2 linked regions of the Daphnia pulex genome follow. Each later gene encodes a partner of the first gene's protein in a complex. Links are inferred from orthologs where the notes say so. Each region holds a gene or a part of one and is shown in the gene's direction. Other genes may lie near its edges.

The links.
Region 2: transcription initiation factor TFIID subunit 1-like (region 1) and transcription initiation factor TFIID subunit 5-like share a complex: the UniProt entries of both Caenorhabditis elegans proteins name them as parts of the TFIID basal transcription factor complex. The link is inferred for Daphnia pulex from reciprocal best matches to the Caenorhabditis elegans genes taf-1 and taf-5.

Annotation. Positions count from the first base shown.
Region 1 is NC_060026.1:11,812,765-11,817,342, reverse strand, and holds the end of transcription initiation factor TFIID subunit 1-like, read left to right. Parts: intron 1-15; coding exon 16-173; intron 174-249; coding exon 250-1,492; intron 1,493-1,554; coding exon 1,555-1,777; intron 1,778-1,842; coding exon 1,843-2,630; intron 2,631-2,698; coding exon 2,699-3,006; intron 3,007-3,065; coding exon 3,066-3,468; 3' UTR 3,469-3,802; downstream 3,803-4,578. UniProt on the Caenorhabditis elegans protein: The TFIID basal transcription factor complex plays a major role in the initiation of RNA polymerase II (Pol II)-dependent transcription.
Region 2 is NC_060026.1:1,543,921-1,548,230, forward strand, and holds transcription initiation factor TFIID subunit 5-like, read left to right. Parts: upstream 1-1,451; 5' UTR 1,452-1,486; coding exon 1,487-1,669; intron 1,670-1,731; coding exon 1,732-1,923; intron 1,924-1,984; coding exon 1,985-2,187; intron 2,188-2,249; coding exon 2,250-2,446; intron 2,447-2,509; coding exon 2,510-2,711; intron 2,712-2,783; coding exon 2,784-2,903; intron 2,904-2,986; coding exon 2,987-3,578; intron 3,579-3,640; coding exon 3,641-4,042; 3' UTR 4,043-4,110; downstream 4,111-4,310. UniProt on the Caenorhabditis elegans protein: The TFIID basal transcription factor complex plays a major role in the initiation of RNA polymerase II (Pol II)-dependent transcription.

The DNA of each region.
Region 1 (4,578 bases):
TTTATTTTAATTCAGGTCTTTATCTACCGACTGTTTTGGAAGAGCCCCGACACTCCACGTCGTATCCGCATGGATGACATTAAACGAGCTTTCCCAGCACATTCCGAAAGCAGTATCCGCAAACGGTTGAAACTATGCGCGGACTTTAAGCGAACAGGAGTCGACTCCAATTGGTATTTCGTAGTATAATAATTCATACTCCAACGGATGTCCAAATTGCTCATTTTTGGTTACCGACAAATTCAACAGGTGGGTATTGCGGCCGGATTTCCGGTTACCTTCGGAAGAAGAGCTTCGAGCGTTAGTGTCGCCGGAGCAATGTTGCGCCTATTTCAGTATGATCGCGGCCGAACAGCGTTTGAAAGACGCCGGTTACGGTGAGAAATTCCTTTTCGCACCTGAGCAGGATGACGACGAAGACCAGCAACTGAAAATGGACGACGAAGTCAAAGTAGCCCCATGGAACACCACCCGCGCCTACGTCCAGGCCATGAAAAACAAATGTCTCCTGCAATTAACAGGTCCGGCAGATCCTACCGGTTGTGGCGAAGGTTTCTCCTACGTCCGCGTTCCCAACAAACCGACCATCAACAAGGAAGAGCTGGAATCTCAACCTAAACGTATTGTGACGGGCACCGACGCCGATTTGCGTCGATTGTCACTCAACAACGCAAAAGCAATTTTGAGGAAACACGGCGTACCTGAGGAGGAAATCAAGAAACTCTCCCGCTGGGAAGTTATTGACGTCGTCCGAACACTTTCCACCGAAAAGGCCAAGGCCGGCGAGGAAGGCATGGACAAATTCTCCCGTGGTAATCGCTTCTCCATTGCCGAGCATCAGGAGCGATACAAGGAGGAGTGTCAACGCATTTTTGATCTTCAAAACCGAGTCCTGGCCTCGAACGAAGTTTTGTCCACCGACGAAGGCGAAAGCGAAGAGGAGGAAGACATTTCTGATATCGAAGAAATGGGTAAAAACATTGAAAACATGCTGGCCAATAAAAAGACGTCCAGCCAGTTGAGCCGAGAGCGGGAAGAACAGGAGCGTCGTGAATTGCAAAAGATGATCCTCGGCGAAGGATCGGGCTCCATGAAGAAAGATAAGAGCCGTGTAGGACTGGACGAAGAAGACAGTTCATCTCAACCGCCGCTGGCAGGAGCCGGACAGGCCGGTCGAGTGCTCAAAATTTTCCGGACCTTCAAAAACGCCGAGGGCAAAGACTACACCCGCGTTGAATTGGTTCGCAAACCGGCCATCATCGACACTTACGTCCGAATACGAACGACCAAAGATGACGCCTTCATCAAACAGTTTGCCACGCCCGACGAGCACCAAAAGGAGGAAATGAAACGTGAGAAACGTCGAATCCAGGAGCAACTCAGACGACTCAAACGCAATCAAGAAAAAGAGAAATTAGGCATCGTTAACAATCGCCGTCGTAAAGTCAAGATGAAGCCCGATTTGAAAATGAAATGCGGTGCCTGCGGACAGGTAACTTTCCTTGTAATTAACGGCCTTGTTTCTGTTTATTAATTATGCTAATGTATCGATAGGTGGGTCACATGAGGACCAATAAAGCTTGCCCGCTCTATCAAAACACCACCCCGTTGCCACCGATGGTTGTGGCCATGACGGAGGATCAAGAGGAGGAAATTGAAAAGCAAATCTTTAGCGAAGATGAAGAATTGGTCAATGTCGACGGTACCAAAGTGAAATTGTCCGGCAAGCTGGTCAAACACGCCGAGGAAATCAAGCGACGTTCGCTAGTTCTTAAAGGTTTGTTTATTATTGATTTTATATTTGGGGGGGATTACCTGACATTGATTTTTGATTGTTCACAGTGCCCAAGGAAGCCATGTCGGGTCGAAAGAGAAGGCGAGCAGGTACAGTGACGCATTGCGACTACCTGAGCAGACATACAACTAAGACGGCCAATCGACGAAGGACTGACCCTGTCGTGACACTTTCCACCATGTTGGAGGAAATCCTCAATGAGATGAGGGAATTACCCGATGTCCAGCCTTTCCTGTTCCCGGTGAGCAGCAAAACAGTGCCGGATTATTACCGGATCGTTACTCGACCTATGGACCTTCAGACGATCCGGGAAAACATCCGGCAAAAACGATACCAGAGCCGTGAGGATTTCCTGTCCGACGTCAACCTCATCCTGGAGAATTCCACGTTGTATAATGGAGATAAAAGCATTTTGACCACAGCTGCCAAGCGGATGCTGGATCTCTGCATCGAAAGGCTTTCCCAGAAGGAAGAGAGGTTCATGAGGCTGGAAAAGGCCATCAATCCGTTGCTGGATGACGACGATCAGGTGGCCTTTTCCTACGTCCTCGACAACATCATCAACGGAAAGTTGAAGCCTCTGCCAGAGGCCTGGCCGTTCCTCAAGCCCGTCAACAAGAAATTCGTCAAAGATTACTACACCATCGTCAAAAATCCGATGGATTTGGAAACGGTGGCCAAGAAAGTCAAAGCGCACAAGTACCACAACCGCGAAGAGTTCCTCTACGACGTCGACCTGATCCTGGAGAACAGCATCGCCTACAACGGAGAGGAGTCGCAGTTTACAGAGAAGGCCCGTGCCCTTGGACGTATTTGTCGAGATACTCTCGAAGAGGTAATGTCATCCATTTTGGTTCTTTTCAAGAAATGCTAATTTTCCCTTTCTATTTTATTACGTCGCAGTACGACGACCACCTGACTCAATTGGAGAGTAATATCCGCATTGCTCAGAAGAAGGCCATGGAGCAAGCCGAAAACGATTTCCTCGACGTGGGTGAAGAAGGTTACGAGGATGAGTACATGATGGAGTCGATGGACATGATGGAAACGCCAGATCGTCCCGGTGAGGACGAATGGGATCCCGAAGCCGAATCGCCTGTCCGGCCGACTAAGAAAAGCAGGAAATCGGCCTCGAATAATTTCGCTCAACCTGGGCCTTCCGGCGCAGTGAAACCCAAGGGCAAGCGAGGCCGTCCAGCCAAAAACAAAGGGTATCATATTTTCTCATCCGGAATTATTTGTCATCAATTAATGTCATTTTTATCAACAGGTCACCGACTCCAAAGGGAAATTCTCCGCGGGTCAGTTTCTCGTCTCCACGCGGATCTAAGCGGAAGGCAACCGACGTGCTGGACGACCTTCAGTACTCGGCCAGTGAAAAAGAGGAGGACGAAGACGAGGATGACGACGACGAAGAGTTGGAAGAGGTCGCCATGGACGTGGTGGACGTGGACGCCAATTACGATCCGGAAGCGGAATTCTTTTCGTGCGGGCCCAGTAAAGACGAGGACATTCGCGACGATTTGCAAGTCAGCGAGTCGGAGGAAGAAGGTGAAATTCGCGATGACCAACCCGTTGCTGCCAGCGCCAATAACAAAGGTCGTAGTCGTCACCACTCGAACCGCCCAAATTCATCCCGTGATGAGGATGACGACGGAGGTTTGTGGTTCTAAAAAAACCAAACTAAACAATTTACAAATGTTTTAAGTGCGTCTGTGCCTCGATCGCCCGTTATATTAATTGCCCATCATGTTTAAAAACACAATCTTCTTTTTTCTAATTAGCATTTTCATGGGGGGTTGGAACCGCAACAACTTGTTGTTGTTGCGGTTGATCATGATTCTTTTCCCTCCATCCGATTTTGTGGGGTGTTTTTTGACACTCTTTTGTGTACGTGTGTGTTGTAAACGTCAAAGTTGATTTGCTGGGTGCGCGGATGCCACAGAGTGAGGCAATGCGAACGCTCGGAGCATTATTTCTCAATACAGAAATGTTTTACATTTTAAATTCCGGTCGACGGGGAAGAATGCGTTTGCGGGTGATGACTCAGCGCGAGTTGGTGCGTGCGCCTCAAGCCTTTTCTGATTTGAACGCTACTGACATTCTTTTGATCATTCCCTTTCTTCCATTTCTTTTTTGTTGTTTCCCCCCCACTGGCGATCATTTTCGATTGCCAATGCCAAGAAAATTGCGCATTAAAAACATGGCGAGTTTCAATGCCATCTGTTGGATTCCTACCCAACGATTTATTGGAAATGTTTTTTTTAGATTTTTCTTTGAAAAAGAAGAAAAATGAAACGCAGTTCGCGTTGACGGGGTCATAGGAATGCGATAAACATCCGATCCATCTTTCTCTTCTTCAGTTATGGACTTTTTGAAGTGGTTTAACAAAAAAGTAGGAAATAAAATTCTATTCGTTTGTCTTATTTTTTAAAAAAATAAAAGAGAACCGCACAGGAAACCGTACACATGCATCCGCCGGAGAAAATTCAGTCATTTTCAATGGATGACGCACTTCGTTTTTGTTTTTTACACGTTTGGCAAGAGAAAAATCAAAAGGGAGGTGTTTGCGGTCGTTAAAGTCAAGCTTTCAAACAACAATAGGTCTATACGTGAGCGTGAAATCAAATATGCACCAGGAAATTGTTTATTCATAATCAGTGTATAACAACTTATGGTTGTGGTAAACTGGTGATATTCTTTTGTTTTTTCACAAATTTTTTTGATTTTTTGCTGGATTGCATCATCACGTTCCCGCGAGTGTAACGCCCGGAGCTATCTTT
Region 2 (4,310 bases), about 10 Mb from region 1:
TTTTTTAATTTTTTTTTTATTCAAACGGAGCAGCGACATTCCAAATTAAATGGCGAATTTGAATTGGAAAAGAAAACAAGGCAAGGGTTTACAAAAAATAATGGCCTGACTCTGTATTATTAAATCTCCCGACCATCATCAACCATGTTTTTTTTCTATTTTGGTTTTTACATAACACACACCTTTTTTCCCCCCACGTTTTTACTTCAAACAAACTTGTGTGATGGTTCTTTTTTCTCGTGTGTAGAATTTCTTCCCCCCGTTTCTTTTGTGTATACTCGAACCTCCCCCCCGCCCTTCAAAACTTTTGTATATCAAGCTTTGTGAAACCTTGATTACCTTTTTTTTTTTTTATATACAAATCAATGTAGGTGTTCCACACATTTCTTCTCTATATACCTATTTAGCTTTTTCTCTCCTTGATCATGATCGTGGCCCTCCCAATATCTTTCGAATAATGTCCTAACTTGGATATCGTGTAAGTAACGCTGCTATATCAGGAAATGTACATTTCTTGCCTTGCCCGTTGATTTCATTTCATTCTTTCTTTAATTGGCTTTACTGATACTGATAAGCCTTTGCACTTTGGAAGTTGAAATGAGTGGAGAAATAACGAGAAAAATTTGGATATTCTTGTGAAAAGGCGAATCTATATTGATGCACATGGTACAAATACGAATGACATTTCACAAGAGGTAATTTTTTTTACAGCCAAATTTCAGCAGCTTTTGTCCAAGTGGGAACTCGTGGTGGTAATTAGTTTTCTGGTTCTGGATGACAGCTGACCCAGAATTACCTAGTGAAAGAACAGAACAGTTAGAGACAATTTACACGGCGTCATTAAAACTAGTGAACTTACCTAAGAATCAGACTGCCATTTGCTTCCATGTGACTGCGAGTGGTTGAGAATGGATTTACTTGGAGCGAGCACGCATCTTCCTGCGCTTACGCTTAAGCCTACGCATACGCTTCTTACGCCACTAAAGAAAGAAAGAGCCGGCCATTAGATTCACAAGCCTCGAGACAAGCATCACAGTACACCGATACATGAAACACATAGAATAGGTAGAAAAACGATAATTACCTTAGCTCTCATGATGCAGTCGGTCTCTAAATGAAACAAGGAAAACGAAACAGTCGGTTAGAGATGTTGAAAACGAGGCAATTGTTGGATGATATTGGATTTTGTTAACTCAGTAAAACCAAGAATGAACTTACCTAGGAAAGACTGCAGAGAAGAGTGAGAGAGCCAGTGCCTGATGGTCTCCTACATTGCCTATTTCCGTTTCCACTCCTTTCTTTAAAAATAGTTGAAATATTATATCGTAAAACATATTAAAACCTATATTAATTTGATGCTAGAAAAATTAGCAATTTTATTATGGGTAAAGTATTGTTTTAATTAATATTTTAGTAAATAAATTTGATAACTGGCACAATGCAAACCCGCTGTCGGGGTTGTTTACAACGAAAAAAAAAAGGAAAAATGGAGTTCGATATGAATCAGATATCTCAAACAAGTAATTCAAACGCGAAAATTGAAGCATCTGAAAGTCAAAACAGTGAAGTTCCAAGTGAAAACAGTGCAGTTCAACCTGTAGAACCAGAAAATGTCGACTCCAATACCCTTGCGGCCGTATTACAGTTTCTTCAGAAGCACAACCTGAAAGTAACTGAAAATGACATGATTATTTTTAAATTTCGGCGTCTCATTTATTTACAATGTATTAGGGGACGGCTGATATTTTGAAAAAAGAAGCACGGCTCAAGGAGGATCAATTACGAGATGCACAAGCTCTTCAAGTGGATTCAGAGGCAACAAATTTGCTCTCATCATACAAGAGCGAAGGAGACCCAAATGCCTACGAAAAAGCTTACCTAAGTTACAGGAGATTTGTGGAAAGCTCGCTGGATGTTTATAAAGTATGGTCAAAAGATATTCAACTCAATTTCAAATAATAATTTCAATTTGTTTACTTTTCAGCATGAGCTGTCCCTAGTATTGTACCCTTTATTTGTCCACATGTATTTGGAAATGATTTACAACCAACATGAATCAGAAGCCGCTAAATTTATGGAACGTTTTTCAACAGATCAGGAAGATTATTATCAGGATGATCTTAAAAAAGTTTCTTTTATTACCAAAAAAGAACACATGAAAGGCAGTGATCTCATGGAGAATTTCAAGTAACAAATCACTTTTTTTTTAAATAAAATCGTCAATCATAAAAACTTAAATTGTTAAACAGATCAAGTCAGTTCACCGTTCGAATGTCCCGGGATACTTACTCGGTTTTGAAGCGGTTTTTGCAGGACAAGAACCAATCAATTGTCATGAACGTCATTCAGGAACACTTGTACGTCGACATGTACGAAGGAGTGCCGAGAAATAAAGCCCAAGTTGAATCCACAGCCGGAGCCATGGAAGGCGAGGCCAACAGACAAGGTACACAAATCAAGAGATTAGAAAGAAATCCCCAAAACAATTACCAATTCTTTTCACTTACAGTAAACAAGACCAAAATCTACTATGGTCTGCTCAAAGAGCCCGATATCCAGCTTCCGGTAGTCGAGGAGGAAGAGGACGGAGAACCCGGCGAAGGTGGTGAAAAGCCCAAAAAGAAGAAACCCAAAAAGGATCCGTTGCTCAACAAGAAAGCCAAGAGCGACCCTAATGCTCCACCGGCCAGCCGATTGCCATTACCAGATTTGTAAGATGCAGATGCAGTGAAAAATGGTGTGGAAAAAAAGGAAAATGGTTGAGCTGTGAGTTTCTGTTTCAGGAGAGATATCGACAAACTGGAGAAGGTCAGGGCCCTACGAGAAGCCAGCAAGAGGGTGGCTCTTGGTCCAGACAATTTGCCGTCCATTTGTTTCTACACGATGCTGAATTGCGCGGAAACGTCAGTTATTCTAATTTACCTGATTTTTTCCATTCAATTTGAAATTATAATTTTTTTTCTTTTTCCCTTTTTGTGAATGACAGGGTCACGTGCGTCGAATTCTGCGAGGATTCGTCACTATTAGCCGTAGGGTTTTCCGATTCCATCCTCAAAGTTTGGAGTCTTGTACCCCAGAAACTCCGGGCCATGAAACCGGCCGAGCAATTGGCCGATATCGACAAGGAGGCCGAAGATGTTCTCGTTCGTATGATGGACGACAAGACGGGTGAGACTATGAAAGTCCTTCACGGCCATTGCGGGCCGGTTTACGCTGCCTCGTTCAGTCACGACCGGACGTTACTCTTATCATCGTCGGAAGACGCCACGATCCGGCTGTGGAGTTTGCAGACGTGGACCTGCCTGGTGGTCTATAAAGGCCACATTTACCCCGTGTGGGACGTGAGGTTTTCCCCTCACGGCTACTATTTCTCATCAGTCGGACATGATCGGACTGCCAGACTTTGGGCCACCGATCATCACCAGCCTTTAAGGATCTTTGCCGGCCATTATTCAGACGTTGACGTGGTCCAATTCCATCCCAATTCCAATTACGTCGCCACAGGTTCCAGCGATAGGAGCGTCCGTTTATGGGATTGCGTAACTGGCAACTGTGTCCGGCTAATGACTGGTCATAAAGTAAAAACATTTTCATCCTTTTTATGAGTTTGTTTTTCTTTACAAGTTTTTTGTTTGTGTAGGGAACCGTCTCGGCGTTGTGTTTCTCCACCGACGGCCGTTTTCTGGCATCCGGTGGAGCTGATCAAAAAGTCCTGTTATGGGATCTGGCTCACGGTCACTTATTGGCCGACCTGCCTGGGCACACGATGACAATCTCCAGTTTGGCCTTCAGTCGAGACGGGACCGTGTTCGCCACGTCTTCCCTGGACGGCTCCATCCAACTGTGGGATTTCTTCCGGATGACGGATGAGTCCTCTTTAGAGGACGTCAACATCTCGGGTCACAATCCAGACCTTCTCAAGCGGAGTAACGCCATTGAATCGCTCCGCCTGGCACGTTACCCGACCAAAGCCACTCCTGTCATGTCATTGCATTTCACGCGGAGGAATTTGCTACTCGCTGCCGGCATGTTTGAAGGCTAATCCCTCGATTCACACCAATTTTTAAAAAATAATAATAAGAATTAAAATACATATAACTTTGTCTCTTATTTCCACAGATCCATTTTGTTGTTGTCAAGTCGGGAAAAACCAAATTCTGTCGAGTTGGCTACGTATTTTTCGTAAACGTGCCTAGTGAACCTCGAGACCGCTGTATAAATAGAAGATAATCGACCTGGTTTTTTCCGAGTCGATCTAGAAGTTTCCAGTTTGAGTCAGTCCGAATGGTTAAATTCCTATTGCTACGCAG